Xenopus tropicalis: one gene and its partner. The protein of the gene in region 2 purifies or fractionates together with the protein of the main gene of each other region. This does not show direct contact. Links are inferred from orthologs where the notes say so. Each region holds a gene or a part of one and is shown on either strand. Other genes may lie near its edges.

Evidence for each region.
Region 1: the proteins of ppp1r10 (region 2) and tox4 purify together in Homo sapiens (affinity purification with mass spectrometry; 3 studies listed by BioGRID and IntAct, counting the BioPlex papers as one, with this or other methods). This does not show direct contact. The link is inferred for Xenopus tropicalis from reciprocal best matches to the Homo sapiens genes PPP1R10 and TOX4.

What each region holds. Positions count from the first base shown.
Region 1 is NC_030677.2:141,988,905-141,998,107, forward strand, and holds the start of tox4 (TOX high mobility group box family member 4), read right to left. Parts: upstream 4,487-9,203; 5' UTR 4,472-4,486; coding exon 4,464-4,471; intron 1,984-4,463; coding exon 1,803-1,983; intron 118-1,802; coding exon 49-117; intron 1-48. Other genes in the region: rab2b (ras-related protein Rab-2B), read left to right, coding at 5,087-5,132, 8,250-8,321, 8,547-8,614. UniProt on the Homo sapiens protein: Transcription factor that modulates cell fate reprogramming from the somatic state to the pluripotent and neuronal fate. In liver, controls the expression of hormone-regulated gluconeogenic genes such as G6PC1 and PCK1.
Region 2 is NC_030684.2:75,436,461-75,445,168, forward strand, and holds part of ppp1r10 (serine/threonine-protein phosphatase 1 regulatory subunit 10), read right to left. Parts: intron 7,044-8,708; coding exon 6,858-7,043; intron 6,088-6,857; coding exon 5,985-6,087; intron 5,001-5,984; coding exon 4,891-5,000; intron 4,679-4,890; coding exon 4,578-4,678; intron 4,394-4,577; coding exon 4,246-4,393; intron 4,159-4,245; coding exon 3,994-4,158; intron 3,781-3,993; coding exon 3,534-3,780; intron 3,371-3,533; coding exon 3,295-3,370; intron 3,153-3,294; coding exon 2,964-3,152; intron 472-2,963; coding exon 351-471; intron 67-350; coding exon 1-66.

The DNA of each region.
Region 1 (9,203 bases), on a different chromosome or scaffold from region 2:
CAAGGTCAACACCATTCAGTAGACTTTATCCTACATCATTTCACATACCTCTGTCCCTGTAAGAAAAGGGTGTCCTGGCCCTGTGATTGTAAGGTAATTGTCGCTGCTCCCCGGAAACTGCAAGTCAGAAAGAGAAAACATAATAAGGAGAAAATAAAGGATTTTTAAAGTATGTGCCTATTCCAAACCTTCTGTGCAACTGAACCTTTTTCATAGTTCTATATAAACATTTTTGAAAGCTGTAAAATACAATGGGCACCTGTTAACAGCATGTCATGTCCTACCCTTCTTGGTACCTGAAATAAGATGCAGTTTGCACAATAAAAGTACAAGGTATTACAACAAAGAATATACAAAAGATCAAGCAGCACTCTCTCATCTGTAATGTCTCCTCCGTTCATGATAAAGATGCAGCTTTGTATATGCCTTCTTATCTTTGCAAGATGTATGCCAGGCATTCCTGCCCTGCCAGTCTCAGATCCAGCTGAATTTTTACATTCCGTGGCACTTCCTCCACATTCCTACAGGAGTGAACTGCAGTCCTTATTATGTGCCAAATTTGCATCCAGCTACTCCGGCTTTTGTGAGGGTAAATGTAGACCTATACAAACCAACCTTACAGAGCAAAGAATGACTAAGCTTAAAGGGATTTTGTCATGATTTTTATGGTATGGTACTTTTTTATTTTTAAATTAAAATAAAATAATTTTACATAGCAAATAATTCACTATCATTTAAAATGTTATTCTTGAACCAACAAATGTATTTTTTTCTAGTTGTAATATAGGCATGTAGGCAGTCATCTCAGTGCATTGTGCCTGAGTCTGAGTTTTCAGAAGGAGCCAGCGCTACACATTAGAACTGCTTTCAGATAACCTATTGTTTCTCCTACTCCCATGTAACTGGAGGAGTCCCAAGCCAGACTTGTATTTCTAACTATTGAGTGCTACTCTGATATCTACTGGGAGCTGCTATCTTACTACCTTCCCATTTTTCTGTTGATCGGCTGCTGGGAGGGGGGTTATATCACTCCAACTAGCAGCTAAGCAGTAAAGTGTGACTGAAGTTTATCAGAGCACAGGTCACATGGCTGTGGCACTCTGGGAAATGAAGAATATGGCTAGCCCAATGTAAAACTTAAAAATTAAATATAAAAAAAGTTTGTGTTTTTGAAAAACGGATTTCAATGCAGGATTCTGCTGGAGAAGCTCTATTAACAGATGCATTTTGAAAAAAAACATGTTTTCCCATGACAGTATTCCTTTATCATCCTTATCTGCCTGCAGCCTGCAGTTCTATAGTACCATGACATAAACGCTGTCCATACAGAACATTTTGGGTAAATTAACCTCAACCTTAGGGTAAGAACCCACAGAGGTTCAGTCGCCTGTGATAGATCTCTGCTATCATGGGCAACAATCCTCTCTGAAATAGCTTTCCACCAGCAACAATAGAAGTCAGGCGACGAAACCGCTCCATGGGTCCTTACCCTAAAGGATTTTTAGAAGAAACTTTGTGCATATCATGTTATCTAAAATGCAAATAAGATGTGCATATAAAGCTGTGACTCTCAAACCTTAATTTGAAGTGTTTTTGTAGTGCTTGTCAACAACTGGTCTGCAATTTTTTGTTACACACATAAAATCAGTTATTGATGAAGAAATATTACCAACATACTGGAAATTTGAGCACTTAAAACATGCATTTAATAATACTAATACTTTTTACATATAGAATAAAACAATCTTATATAATACATCTTAGCAATGCTGTAGCACCCACATTTTGTTAGTGTGTCTCACCTTGCTATACCCATACACTCCATAGAGAGGCTGAGAGTGGAGCAAACCTGGCATATCAATGGAGCATGGAGCTCCCTCATCTCCTGTAAATAGCATGTGGTGGCCAGGGAGGCCCCCATCACTGCCATCTGTGTCCAAACCAGAAAATAGGTGTAGGTCCATGAGTCGAAGAGCTAGCCCCCTACAGAGCACACAACACTTCAGTTACACAAGGGATAATGACCTCAAGCACAGATTGAACTATAGCATCAACTATCCCAAAGCTAATGACTGAAGAAAGGTTGAGAGTTGCACAGCAAGAAAGCTACAGGTTAGATTCTGATGAGTCTGTGGGAAGCAAAACCTTTCACTACCTAGTAACACAACACCCAACAACAAACACCACAATTTGCAAACCATATGAAGCCTACATTATAGTTGAATGAAACAGTCTATGTTTTGAGGAGCACAACATTAATGCAAGCTGTGTAATGCAAAGATCAGGTAAATACATAGGGGCAGATTTACCAAGACACAAACGCTCGGAGCGTTCATTCAAACGCTCTGAGCATATTTTCATCTAATTTTCCTGCTGTTTACAATCGCTCAGTACGAAAATTTCGTGACTTTCGAATTGCCAATACGATATTATCATGACTAATATGATTTTTCCGTAAGCATATTTGTGATATTTGCGATCTTCAGAAATGATCGTATCCAATCCGAATTTATCCCATTTGGGATTCGAACTCACGTTTTCATGAATGTGCCCCATAATTATGTGACACTAAGGACCGCTGGTCTATCTGAGGCGTTAAGCACTCAATGGTAGGTCCCAATTTCATGGTGCCAAACAAAACCACAAAGCCAACACAAAGATAGGCACTCAGTTCACGAAACAGGCAAACCACAACAAGGTTTTTTCTCCCGAAGGAAAGAGGCATCACCAACACAAAGTCTATTGATCCTCAAATCATGCAAATTCTTAAATTTTTTCATTTTGTGGTCTAACATTTAGCCAGGACCCCTCAGCTCATAACAAGAGGGCAGATACATGGGATCTTTTATACAGAAACCCGTTATGTAGAAAGTTCCAAATTACGTGAAGGCCATCTCACAGACTGCATTATGAGCAAATCATTTTTAAAAATTAGAATTATTTCATTTTTCTCTGTAACAATAAAACAGTACCTTGTACTTGTTCCTTACTAAGATATAATTAATCCTTATTGGAGGCAAAACAATCCTATAGGGTTTATTTAATATTTAAATTATTTTTAGTAGGCTTACGGTATAGAGACCCAAATTACAGAAAGACCCCTTATCTTTTCCCATGACCAAAAATACACTTTTTGGTCACTACAGGGCGGCTTCTTAGCCTGCAGATAAATGGCAGAGGCAGAGAATTCGCCCGTACGCTTCAAGAAGCTTATGGACGTGCATGCACCTGTAATCGCATCAGTCCACAGGCACCGGATTTCCCTACAAAAACTGCAAGTATGCAGTTACGTGTGGAAATCCACTCTGTGTGCAAGCAGAGAATCCACCCCGTGTGGCAGGAGCCTAAGTGCTCTCATACTTCACTGCATTAACTTGAGGGAAAAAAAAAAATTGTATTTTAAGGGAAGTCACCCTTTTTTGGAACAACAAAAGCAATTTTTAAATACGCATTATGAATCACATCAGAGTTATTTACAAAGTACTTGCTATTAAAAGCAGAATCTGTCTGTTTTCTGCACTGCTGCTTTTGCTTTCAATTGTAATTACATTTACAAATAGCTTTAAATTAATTGAAAATGTTTAATTAATGTATAGTGAAATGTTTAACATCTTTCATTATGCAACAAAAGTTGGAGAGATTCCCCTTTAAATTGATCACACCCTTTTCTTTATTCCATTTTTCACTTCATGTCTAAGTTAGCTAACTAAAGGTATAATTTCTCTATATTTTTGCTCTGATCAATGGTTAGCACTCTGCTTGTATGAAAAGACCAAAGAATTTTCCTGTGAAATAAAATGCTGCACTGCCTCCTATTAAAACAAGTTACAATGACAACTGTTACAGCATTCAATAATTATATAAAAGCAATATTTTATTAATCACAGAAACATTGCTGCTAATTATGCAAACACTTCTGAGGCTGCTGCTGCAGAGGGGGGGGGCTCCTTTGCTTTCATGTATCTGTAACCTTATTATGAACTAAGGGGCGCTCTGGCCAAGTTAGATCTCATGCATGAACTAAGAAACTCAAACAACCACTGTCCAGTGAGTGAAGAAAGAACATGTAACTGATCTATTACAGCATCTTGCCATATAAAAGTAAATAAACCACAAATGACCCTTCTCTGGCTTCTGAATAACAGCATTCATCTCTATAACATTTTACTATTAGTGACACAGACAATAACAAATAGAAGCTTCCATGTTAATGCTGGCAGTAAACAAGCTGTTTCACCACAGATACAAATAATAATAGTAATTTCAATTCACAGTACAAGGAATGCAAGTCTTCTATCAGGCACATCACTCTCAAAGAAACACATTACTTATCCACAACCCCATAGCCAATATAAATATTCAATTGACAGGAACCTGTTACCACTGAAACGAAACCCCCAACACAACACGTTCTGAAGAAACTATAAGTATTGGCACCAGGGGATTAGAGATACTTGACGCACCGCGACATAATAACAACTACATTGTACGATCTTTAAATGCTACACGTTTTCTGTGTTTGATCCGCAGGAACTATAGTTCCCTTCTCGCCACTTCATTAACCTGCTCTAATGGCCCACATAATCTGCGTTTTGAAAATCACCACCAACACGCATACGGAATCAAACTAGCTGTATACCGCGTTAAAACCGAAACTAACACAATAAAATACGTAATTTACCCAACTCACCTCCATTTTCACGGCCTGAGACTCTTCTTCTTTTCAAGCACACTTCCCCGCCTCTACAAAGATGGCGAGACATCCGCTTCCGGTAAAAGCAGCGAAGCCATATTGGTACAGTAATGCTGCTACTCATTCCTCCTATAGTATAACAATAGGATGTGAGGCAGCCATAGAGACTATTCATTAGAATGCTACACGTATCGAATACAAAAGAGCGAACATCCGGCTTAGTAAAGAACGTCGCTACAAGCCGTACACCAGATAGAGAGTCTTTTCCGGAAGCAATAGAGATGAGACTGCGTGGCAAGAACGTCTCTCTGGGAGCTCTAGTTAGAGTAAGGCAGTTCAAAGGAAGCCTCCTCCCCGTAATCACCTGCCTTGGTGGCTCTGACGATTGCCATCATGTCGTATGCCTACCTCTTCAAGTATATCATTATTGGTGATACAGGTGCGTACGTATTTTAAATGATTTTATCTATCGGTTTACGAATATTGGGTGCTATTATTATGCTCTTGTAACCTTGATGCTTTTTAATTTTATTTTGTGTATTAAATATAAAATCATGCATATGCTAGCATAAAATGAGAATATTCCGAGTTTATGTACAATAATATATTATTTTTAAATAGCAGCTCTTGGTGTTCTGTTTTGCAGATGTTTTTCAAATTTGTATGCAATTACAGATTTGTGTATATGTATATATCTTTGTATTTATACAGGTAATGTTAGGAGCCACATCATTAAATATTATAGAGGCACATTGCAATTTGTGTATCACTTATAACAGTGATGGGTAGTTTTAAAGCTGAGTTGCCAGAGCCCCATATTTTCTCCATGAATAATCAGAAAGAGTGCACATATTTCATGTTAGTGATAATGCAATACAATGCATTTTATTACATTAAGAGCCGTATTTCCTACAGTTTAACTTTATAGAAACAGAGTAACACATGATAGGTTGGCTAAATAATAATTTAAAGGTGAACTCGAAAAAAAACTGTTTTTGTTTTGAATAAAGACAGAAAATGCAATGCAGCTTTTCAATAAACATAGAATACTTTTTTTGTATGGTTTTAAATAGTAGCTTATGAAAGCAGTATTATCCAACTCTTTCTGCCTTGCTGGCCTGATTGCAGAAGCCAGCTGATTAACACCCCTGGAGGGGAACTCACCTCTGCTACATGGTTGCAGGAATAAGAATCAGAGAACAGAAAAGGATAAACACATATTGCCTTCAGTAGTGATTTCACTGGTTTTGATGTTATTTGCAAATGTAATCTTTTAATCCATATAGGTTGAGGTAATGCTTGGAATTACAACTCCTTTCATTTTGTAAAAACAGTTTTGTGGATTTTCTCTTTAATCACTGTCTTTAGTTTTTATAAGTGGCAATGAAATTATTTTACGCTATGTGCATGTATAGTAGTATCTCCAGGTTCTCCTTAATCTGTGGTGTAGCAGACTAAGGCCTCCTTACTGTATAATAACCTAGTGCATGGTACTGCAGAAAAGTAAAAAAATGATGCTTTTAGCATATCTGATTTTTATATCTCTTTGCTATTCCCCCATATCTACCCTTATTACATATTTGCATGCAATCAAATAAGTACATAGATGAATGTGATAGCTGCAGTGATTTTCAAGTGTTTAGGAAATCTTCCACCCCTCCAAAAAATAAAAACAGTGCACAAAAGCCAAGGTAAATTTCAGACAAAGGGAGTGATGATGCTATTAAAAACCTGGTAAAGACTGAGGGAACCAGTGGCCTGAGATACAAGGAGAGATACAGATATTGTACCAGGGACTATAAGCCTCCATGATGGTTCTGTGAAATTAATTTTTTTTATAGGAAGAAAGTATGACATTTTAATTAAATAGGCTGTGCATAAGACAATAAAGGGGTTTGTAACGTGTGTTACTAAGGTGAAGTGCAATAAGCAGGGGCGTTAGTTTTGGTTGGTGGGCAAATGGGGTTGTTAGAAATGTTTTCCTAATCTAAAGTTGAGGAATATGGTTAGTAGGGAGAGAGTTAGGTGAAATACTAAACTGGAAAGTTTGATTTTCTGTGTGCTTATTAACCAGTCAGTTTTATAGTGGTGTATTGAACCTTCAGGCAGCTAGGTAAAAGCAGCAAGGCAAACAGGAACTCAATATCTGTGAGCTGGCCTCTCAGCTGGAGTAAATCCTTAGAAGGCCTCCTCAATGCAGCCATATTAGAAGTAACTGAAACAGCAGCTTCATGCAGCTATTAATTCTGAGAACAACCACAACTTCATGCCTGCCAGGTGATACACTGTAGCTGAAGACTAAAGAGGTTAATGTAATAGCAGGTACAATGTTTCCTGCAGGTATAGATGTTTGCTTTACAACAGCAGATGAGTGAATGCTACCTGCTAGCAGGTAATTAGAAGTGGAGAAAACTATAGTTCTAATCTATTACCACCCAAAGTAAAATAATAATAGTAATTTGTTTGCAGATATATTTATTTTGCTGAATGCCAGTTGGGTGGTAAATCCAAACTGGATACAGCTCAGTGTCACACTCTGTTAGGGCAGTGACCCACAGAGCTACTTTTAGCCAGCTATTTGGCGTGGCTACAATATAGGCAATACTGATAATTGTCTCTACGTGTGTTTTAGCAGAGAAAATTTTCAGTATTGTCTATGGCAGGGTATTTTCTGGTGATTTGTAGCTGTGACAAGTAGCTTTATGTCATAGCCTCTAAAATTACAGCCCCCAGAATAACATACCTTTCGCTCTGCATGCAGATTTATTTTGTTGCTCTATTACAAGCAGCTGAACTGTATCCCTTTACCGACTGCCTTGTCTTGCATAAAACTCTGCCCCCTTTCCCTTATTGAGCACTCCTTCTTTAGCAGATTATGCAGACCTATACTGGGCATGCTCACTGCGCCTGCTTCAGTTTAAATCAATAATGCATGCACAGTAGGCACCTCTTTGAGGTCATTTATTGTTTGATATGGAAGGAGGCATCATCTTTTCAGGGTATAGAACAATGTTTGCTTGCTAACTGTTTGTGTAATGTGTACATATATAAAATGTTATAATGCACGAAGTGCATTTCCTCTGGTTTCGACCCGTTGAGCACATATCGGTACAATACAATTTTGCTTTTTAATATAATCTGGTTCAGTGTTATAAATGTGTGCTGGTTATTATACAAGTGCTTACCAAACGAGTGAATGTGCAAAGTTCTGTGTTTTTGCTCACAGTGCACCTGGTACCCCCACCTTTACACCCTCTACTGCCATTATTGATGCAAGGTTGTGTTTCTGACACTTGCACTTGCTGTCTGCCACACAAGTTTTAAATGCAGGTCTCCCTGCTAACAACATTGCAGCCAGTGCAAGGACACAGAATGCAGCCATTATGCACATGGCTAAATCACTATATGAATGTGTACATTTTTACACATTAGCACAAATAGCATATGCGTTTAGCATAAGTGACCCCTATGGTGTTTGTACCAGCGTGTATATATGTATATAATTTCTACTATTTGTAGTGTTTGTATACATACTTACATTTCATTTTTTTCATAGGTGTGGGAAAATCTTGTCTGCTTCTTCAGTTTACAGATAAGAGGTTTCAGCCAGTTCATGATTTAACAATTGGTAAGTCAAGTTTTGAGCAGGAAGCATTGTAAATCTTTGAGAATTACCCTGAGTAGTGGAAGAAGAGTGGCTGTGTTCTTATTTTTTTAACAAGAGGTATCATTAAATTTCCTTACGGGCAATGTCCCACAGGGAAAATAGTCGCCCATGATAAATCTCTCTGTGGGACATTAACCCATAAGACCATTTGTAACTGTTTCTCTATCTCACTTTTTCTCTCCACAGGTGTTGAGTTTGGCGCACGCATGATAAATATTGATGGAAAACCTATCAAACTACAGATATGGGACACGGTAAGAAGGCAGACTGCCCTTAGTGTTTATCTTCTGAATCTTCGTGTCCTCTTCTGATCAGTTCGGCAACATTGAGCTTGCTGGCACACGCACAGTTGAAAGTAATCCCAGAGTATCTTTAACTGCACATGCGCCAGGAAGCTACATGATTCCGAACTGATCTGAAGAGAGTGCGCAGATTTAGAAGATGGCTGTTCTGCTAGTATAGGTCAGCTTTACTATCAGAGACATTATTCACTAAAATAGACTCTGCAGGGAGGGAGCAAGGGAGGGGGCTCATTAGATTGGGGGTCTTTTGTCGGGGGGGGGTTCGTTCTCCTTTAAAGGTAATTAGTTGAATACTGTATATACTCGAGTATAAGCCTAGTTTTTCAGCACCCAAAATGTGCTGAAAAAGTCATCCTCGGCTTATACTCGAGTCGGGTGCCATGGGTCCCTCTAGAATAGCACCCTCTCTCCTTTGTGTGCAAATTAGGCCACCTGCAACCAGACCCTCAAGTGCCCTGGCCTAAGCTCCCACTAGCAATACTTATTTCCCCTTACATCTCCTCCGGACCGGGTCTGCTGCCAGTTTGCCAATGTGCAATGA
Region 2 (8,708 bases):
GGTTTTTTGGAGCTGCAGGAGGAAAGCCATTATTAACTGCAACTGGTCCCTGTGATCCTTGTCCAGCTGTAAAAAAAAAGATTATTCTTTATTTACATAACACTATAAAATTCCGGAATGATTTGAAGAGATTGTATAAAATTCAAATCAGTACAGGCTTGTTTACAATCTTAGGCTTTATTGCATTTTCACACACACACACACACACACACACACACAATGGTCAATTTTATCAGGGTCCAAATGCCCTTCAAAAGTACATGGGGGTTACCCATTTAAGCACAGAGAGTCACTGCATACAGAACTAAAATCAGAAACTAGTCTGTGAGCCCCATTGTTCATAGACTTACCTGGCCCTGGTGGACCTTGGTTCTGATTTTGATTCTGCAAAGAGCCCAGTAGTTGCTTGATCTTGTCTGAAAAATCTGGCTGCTTCATTAGGTCCTCTGGTTTTGCATTACCTTGGGCACCCTACAAGTAAAAAGAAGCAATACATAAAATTAGGAGTTACCAATTTTTAAAAAAACAAAAAACAAAACACATTTCACACCATATCAAGGGGTTGAACCTGTGGGTATTAGTGACCATAACGTTATTTCATTTAAGGTTTGGTGCAGGAAACAAATATACGCTGGGGCAACAAAGACCCTAAAGTTTAGAAAAGCAAGTTTTAGTTCCAGTGATTCAGAGCATAGATTGGGGCAGAAATGGTTGTCATTTAAAATGATATTAAATCATTACTGTTCTCAATTTATTCCATTAATAAGAAAATGTAGAAGTGTTAATAATCACCCTATGTGGCTTAATTCTGAGGTACAGAAGTTAATAGGGAAAAAGGGAAAGCTTTTAAGAAATTCAGAGGGCACAGAAACTGCATTTAATGAATATAAACACTATAAAAGTGTTGTAAAACAGCAATTTGGAAGGCAAAAATTGAAAATGAGGAGTGCATTAATAGTAAAAAGATGCAAGTTGAGGGTGTGGCCCCATTGATTTATAGTAACAATATTGTTACAGTGGATACAGAAAAGGCAGATGTGCAAAACACCAGTTCTTTTCTTCTGTGTACACAGTAGAGGAGCCAGAGTGCCAAGTCCCACCCAATAGCTGCACTGTTGCCTCAGCTCCAACTACACAGTGGTTGACGGAGGATTTGGTGCATAAAGGGTTACACAAGATTAACGTGAACAAGGCACCTGGGCCAGATGGAACATACCCTCGGGTACTGAGAGAGCTAGGGGCTAGTTTTACAGTGGCCTCTGTTTCTGGTGTTGTCAGACTCTCTTTCATCTGGTATAGATACCTATGGATTGGAAAAAGGCTAATTTCATTCCTATATTTAAAAAGGGAGTAAGATCTCAGCCTGGCAATTATAGGCCAGTAAGTTTGACATCCGTAGTGGGCAAGTTATTTGAGGGCTTGTTAAGGGATGACATACAAAATTATGTACTCGAGAATGGCATTATGAGCAGTAATCAGCATGGCTTTATGAAGGACAGGTCATGTTAGACCAATTTAATTGCTTTTTATGATGAGGTTAGTAAGAAGCTGGACAGTGGGGGTGCAGTAGATGTGATCTATTTGGATTTTACCAAAGCACCCACAAACAACTGCTTTCTAAACTAAGGTCTGTTGGTCTTCGTGAAGTCGTTTGCACATGAATAGAAAACTGGCCACAGGATCGGGTAAAGAGGGTGGCGGTTAATGAAACATTCTCTACTGGGAGTAAGGTTCTCAGTGGGGTCCCTCAGGGTTCTTTACTAGGTCCACTTTTGTTTAACTTGTTCATAAATGACTTAGGGGAGGGTATTATAAGCAATGTATCAGTGTTTGCAGATGACACAAAACTCTGCAGACCAGTCAATTCTAATCAGGATCTGGCATCTTTGCAGCAGGATCTTGACAACCTGGCAATCTGGGCAGCTAAGTGGCAGATGAGATTTAATGTGGATAAATGTAAGTTCATGCACCTGGGATGTAAAAATATACCCTTAATGGGACTGCACTAGGCAAATCCATAATGGAGAAGGACCTTGGAGTCCTTGTAGATAATAAACTTGGCTGTAGCAAGCAATGCCAGGCAGCAGCTGCAAGGGCAAACAAGGTTTTGAGCTGTATTAAAAGGAGTATAGATTTACTGGAGGGGGGTGTTATTCTTCCCCTTTATAGAACGCTGGTAAGGCCCCATCTAGAATATGCTGTTCAGTTTTGGTCTCCAGTGCTCAAACGGGACATTATTGAATCAGAGAGGGTCCAGAGAAGGGCAACTGAAGAAAGACTGGCCAAGTTGGGTCTGTTTACACTGGAGAAGAGGCGCTTAAGAGGTGATGTGATAATTATGTATAAATATATAAGGGGATAATATAATAACCTCTCTAATGCTTTATTTGCCAGTTGGTCCTTCCAACTGACATGAGGGCACCCACTCTGTTTAGAAGAATGGAGGTTCTGTTTAAATATTCGGAAAGGATTTTGTTACTATGAGAGCTGTGAAGGTGTGGAATTCCCTCCCCAAATACATTATATAGCTTGGATGAGATCTTAGCAAGTGAGGGAATACAGGGTTATGGGAGATAGCTGTAGTACAAAGTTGATCCAGGGACAGGTCCGAAAATTTTTTTTTCCCCTCTGCGGCAAATTAGAGAGGCTTCAGATGGGTTTTTTTTGCCTTCCTCTGGATCAATTAGCAGTTAGGCAGGTTATATATAAGGCATTGTGGTTGAATGTGATGGACTGTCTTTTTTCAACCTAACTTACTTGCTATGTTACATGAATGCAGTTTTAGCTTAAATATGCAATGCAGATGTTCCCACAACATATTCTATACAAAACTCCTGAAATGCAGTGTCAGTACCATTATACTGGTATAAACAGAAGCTAAATCCCAAGATGGCCAAGTTGCTATCTCACATATGCTGATAAAGATAACACATTGAATGCAGCTATATTATTGGACTGCTCACCATTATGGATGTCAGTATTTCCTGCATAGTTCCTGGCAAAGGGTTAGGTTGTGTTTTGGAACTTCCCATGCTTCCCATTAGGTTAGCAAGGACAGGTGGAAGTTTTGCTCCACCTGATAAGTCTGGAGACTGAGATGCAAGGCTCTGGTCCATGGGTTCAGGGTAAACAGCATCATCCATTGAGCAATCCTAAAATAAAAAGGAAAAAGAAGGAAACATGTTAAAATGTGAGGTGCCTCCTTAATACTTTTGGCATACTCCATGATTTTATCCAGTACCTAAACCAGACATTAAGCTTACACTAGAATTATCTTAGTCTGTAATAACTTACCTCATCTAGAGGTATAAGTTTAGGAGGTGATGGTTCATATGATTCAGGGTCAGGTTCATGGGGTGTATCAGGAACACTGCAGCAAACAGATAAACAAGATGTATTTGTTTAAAAAATTACTGTCTGCCATTCAGAAAAAAATGAAGGAAAACATTTCACAATCATTTATTTATTTTATACAACAGCGATTAAACTTTTGTATAAAGGATGTAGACAAAAATTGCATTTGCCATTCTCACCTCTCCTTAGACAGAAAGATCTCCTGGAGAATACCCATTTCTCTTTCTGCCTGTGTGTGCTTTTCTGTGCTGTTACTTCCCATTTGCACCAAAGCCCCAGGAAGATTGAGAAGCCGAGGTGGTACCCAAGGAATGGTCTCCTCCATATTATCATGACTAAGGCGACGTGCGTTTTGAAAAGCTTGCCGGTCCTTTAACATCTCCCGCTTTGCTGCTTCACCAAAGTCTTTAATCTTGTTTACATTGACTGGAAAAGCATAAAGGTGTTTTTATTTTTAAGGCCCAATACATTAGTATTAATGGATACCATGATGTAAACTGCTCTCTTTTTCAAGAGTACAAATATCAATATCAAAGACACTGTAGACTTGTTCATCTTACTGTATATACTAAAAAAAAGTTGTGCTTGTGAGATTACTTAACAGTGGAAACAATATCTCATTAAGAGAACAGCACTAACCTCTCTCAGTTTCATCCAGCTCAAAATAGAAGTATTCCCTGAGGCGGCTCTCTTCAGGCCAACTGACTGTTTTCCTTTTCTTCCCTTTCTTGGTCAACTGAGAAGCATCAGCTTCAGTAGGCTTGGTTTCAGAGGGCACAGGAGGAGGTGGTGTTGATGCAGAAGCTGTAAAAAATCAATTAGATTGTAAAGAACAAAATAATTGCAAAAGGAGAAGTAAAATGCCAACATTGAGATAAAACAGAGTCTTACTTTCCATGGGCTCTGGGAGTTCAACAGCTGGAACTGGTGTTCCTGGACGCTCCACTTCCATTCCTTCTACTGGGGGCTCTGGCTCAGGCGATGAAGGTTTGGCGATACTACTTCCTTCAGCTGGGCACTTGCTATCAAACGGACTGGGCTTTTGGAAAAGACAGTGCACATTATTCTACATTAGAAAAGCTGTAAATTCATAGGCATGATAAGGTTCCCTGGTGTAACCATCTATTAAATCAGTGGAAAGAAGGTACTAGGTGTTTGTTATATTGTTTACTTAAAATCAGATGGATAACCGAGGCTACCAGAATTTTTTTTTAGTTACATACCTTATTACCAGTAGGTGAACTACCCTTCTTTTTCTTCTTGATTTTTATTCCAGGAACAGGGGCTGAATTTAATGCATCTAAAAATCCCAAACTCTCCATGGCTGCAAATTAAAATAGAAAAAAGTGCAGTTAAATATAGTTTTCTTTTTTTAATAATGATGATAATCTGTACAATGGCCTGTTAAAAGTCTGATTAGAATTGAGGTGATGGTACAGAGTTTTTAAATTTAAAGGAAGAGCACATGTAGAGTCAGTGGTATGATAGCTAGGGTAAAGGTAATGGCACAAGTAAACAGATTTAAAAAGAACTTACGCTGTGGTGGAATTATCTTGACCTTAATTTCTTTAGTAGTGTTAGGAACTGTGTTCAGAGGTTTGTATTTTTTCTCTGCTGGAGCTGCATCACCAGGAACTGGAACTGAACTAAGAAAGCAAAAAATGGTGTTAAAAACTAATCAACAACTCGTTAAGCAATCATGATACAAGCTGTTAAACTGCAAAGGAAATTTAATACAGCATCCGTTTTGCAGGGCCATTCAGTGCTTTTTAAAAGATTTTCTACAGCTGGTATTCTAAAACCAGTAAAAGCACTCATTATGGCAAGTTTATCAACCAATATTTATGGCCATACCAATATCATTTCTGTTACTTCAATATTATCACATGCCTTTTCTTAATTTTTCATGTTACTGCATATCCCGTAGGAAATTATTGTTCCACATGTTTTCATTGCCAGTATAATCTTCCAATCTTAATGTTTAGTCTGTAGCTTCCCTGGTTTCTAACTTATCACAGCTTTGCTTTTTTGCCAGCATTCAGGGCCAGGCCAACATGTAAGAGTGCCCAAGGCAAACCCCACCAGCCATCACACACACTGCCCTACTTGGCTTCTCTGACCTTAGCCCCCCAACCCCATGCTCTCTGCAACCCTGTCTCCACCCTCCCAGCATTCAGTACCTCTGCTTCTGTAACAAAAATGTCCTGTGCAAAGTGGGAACCACTTAATTCTCTTAAGCCAGAATGTGCTTCCTGATCCCGATTTTTGTGCCAGTATATACACAAACAGCATGCTCATGTCCTATTTGGAGGCCACTGCTGAACAAATTTAAATATAAAGCAGGAGCTGAAAAAGTAAGCAAGAAGAGGCATGGCTGTCTGTGCCCCCTATTTTCAGTGACATAGGCAGCTCCACTTTTGCCAGCATTTGTTCACCTATCTCCTGCTAAGATTACTTTTTCACCTTAGCAAATTCAATTTTAACAGACAATTCCAAAAAGCCACATCATCTCTGTCTAAAGGACAACAGAACCAGGACTGCTCTTTGTGTATGGACTAAGTAAATAACTTGATCATGTCTACTAATTTGGCAAAGACCAAGTAGTTTTCACAAAAATATGGTTTTCCTACCTCGGTCTCTTTACAGGAACTGGTTTCAAATACTTGTCAGACAGGACCGGAACAGGTGTAGGTTTCTTAACAGGAACAAGTGACGGAGCTTCTACTTCAAGACCTAAAAAAACAGTGAACCTTTGTTTACAAAAAACAAACTCTATGTCTGTGCTATCCCCCACTTCACTTATACAAAAGCTTTCCTCTACAACAAATGATTCTAAAATTATTTTAACTTCTTCCATGTGGTCGGACAGCTATCGACTGACTAAATTACCAATTTAAACAGTATTTCAACCTTTGGAAGTATCATGCCACAATGAACCCAGAGTAATAGACAATCAGCTCTCCTCACTTGGCTAAAGTGTTGAAAGGTAGTAAGTGCTGCTGGGCTAGCGACAAAATGTGATACAAAAAAGTTGTGCAGTGCTGCATGATTAGTTATGTTGACATGTTCCTTATAGTCATACCAATGTGTTTATCAGTTTCAGTTTATCACTTATAGGGCAGAACGTTTGATATAAGGCATAACAAAACTGTGGTGTAAAGGTGATACCTTTATTGGCTAACCAGGATGATAATCACAGCAAACTTTCAGAACAATTCAGTTTCTTCTTCAAAGCTCATTTTACGCTATAACTATTTCAACTGGCTTAACATGGTACTAAAAAATTACCTGGGACATTTTCAAAGAATAACCCAAGAATATAGAAATCTGCATGAACAATAATGGCTTATATTCATTCAGAAATGGTAAAAATTACAAAAAATATATACACTACATTTGAGGAACTGAACTAATATGTGGTAACCAAGTTAACAAAGATGAGAGCAGACAAGTAGCTGTTGATGAATTGAAATATGCAAGAAATGTGGTGTGGTTTGCTTTACCAGTGGATCTAAATTTTGCATGACTTGGGGCTGTTGTACGCAGAGTTTTGGGCTTCTCCTTTTTTTTTTCTCCACCATCCTCTGCTTTAGCTTCAGATTTCGCTTCTAAGGTCTTGTCAAGGACTGGGCTGCGGGCTTTAGGATCCTCTTTTTTCTTTTTCTTCTCTTTATCTATGAGGAGGAGGCCTGGATTAGTGTTTAAATAAGGAGGACATGTATTGAAAAATTATTTTACCTAGACACAGGGCAGAACAATAAAAGAGGTAGATTAGCAACAGCTAATAACAGCTCCAGCTATAACTTGCTGCTACTTTATAAATACTGATGATGATGATTTATTTCACAGAATATAGTAAACTATCTTGGATGCACCCCGTTTTTAACAAGAGGATATACACACAGATGGAGAACAAAAGTTGAATACATTAAAAATGTTTCTATACAAATTGTAAGCCACCGTTAGTACATGTACTTAATCATAGCATCTACAAACCGGATTCCAAAAAAGTTGGGACACTAAACAAATGGTCAATAAAAATCACGGAACAAAAGTTTAAACTGAGAAAATGTACCATTTTAAGGGAAAAATATGTTGATTCAGAATTTCACGGTGTCAACAAATCCCAAAAAAGTTGGGACAAGGCCATTTTCACCACTGTGTGGCATCTCCCCTTCTTCTTACAACACTCAACAGACGTCTGGGGACCGAGGAGACCAGTTTCTCAAGTTTAGGAATAGGAATGCTCTCCCATTCTTGTCTAATACAGGCCTCTAACTGTTCAATCGTCTTGGGCCTTCTTTGTCGCACCTTCCTCTTTATGATGCGCCAAATGTTCTCTATAGGTGAAAGATCTGGACTGCAGACTGGCCATTTCAGTACCCAGATCCTTCTCCTACGCAGCCATGATGTTGTGATTGATGCAGAATGTGGTCTGGCATTATCTTGTTGAAAAATGCAGGGTCTTCCCTGAAAGAGATGACGTCTGGATGGGAGCATATGTTGTTCTAGAAACTGAATATATTTTTCTGCATTGATACTGCCTTTCCAGACATGCAAGCTGCCCATGCCACATGCACTCATGCAACCCCATACCATCAGAGATGCAGGCTTCTGAACTGAGCGTTGATAACAACTTGGGTTGTCCTTGTCCTCTTTGGTCCGGATGACATGGCGTCCCAGATTTCCAAAAAGAACTTCGAATCGTGACTCGTCTGACCACAGTCTTCCATTTTGCCACACTCCATTTTAAATGATCCCTGGCCCAGTGAAAACGCCTGAGCTTCTGGATCTTGCTTAGAAATGGCTTCTTCTTTGCACTGTAGAGTTTCAGCTGGCAACGGCGGATGGCACGGTGGATTGTGTTCACTGACAATGGTTTCTGGAAGTATTCCTGAGCCCATTCTGTGATTTCCTTTACAGTAGCATTCCTGTTTGTGGTGCAGTGTCGTTTAAGGGCCCGGCATCCAGTATGGTTTTACGGCCTTGACCGTTACGAACAGAGATTGTTCCAGATTCTCTGAATCTTCGGATGATGTTATGCACAGTTGATGATGATAGATACAAAATCTTTGCAATTTTTCGCTGGGTAACACCTTTCTGATATTGCTCCACTATCTTTCTGCGCAACATTGTGGGAATTGGTGATCATCTACCCATCTTGGCTTCTGAGAGACACTGCCACTCTGAGAAGCTTTTTTTATACCCAATCATGTTGCCAATTGACCTAATTAGTGTTATTTGGTCTTCCAGCTCTTCGTTATGCTCAAATTTACTTTTTCCAGCCTCTTATTGCTACTTGTCCCAACTTTTTTGGGATTTGTTGACACCATGAAATTCTGAATCAACATATT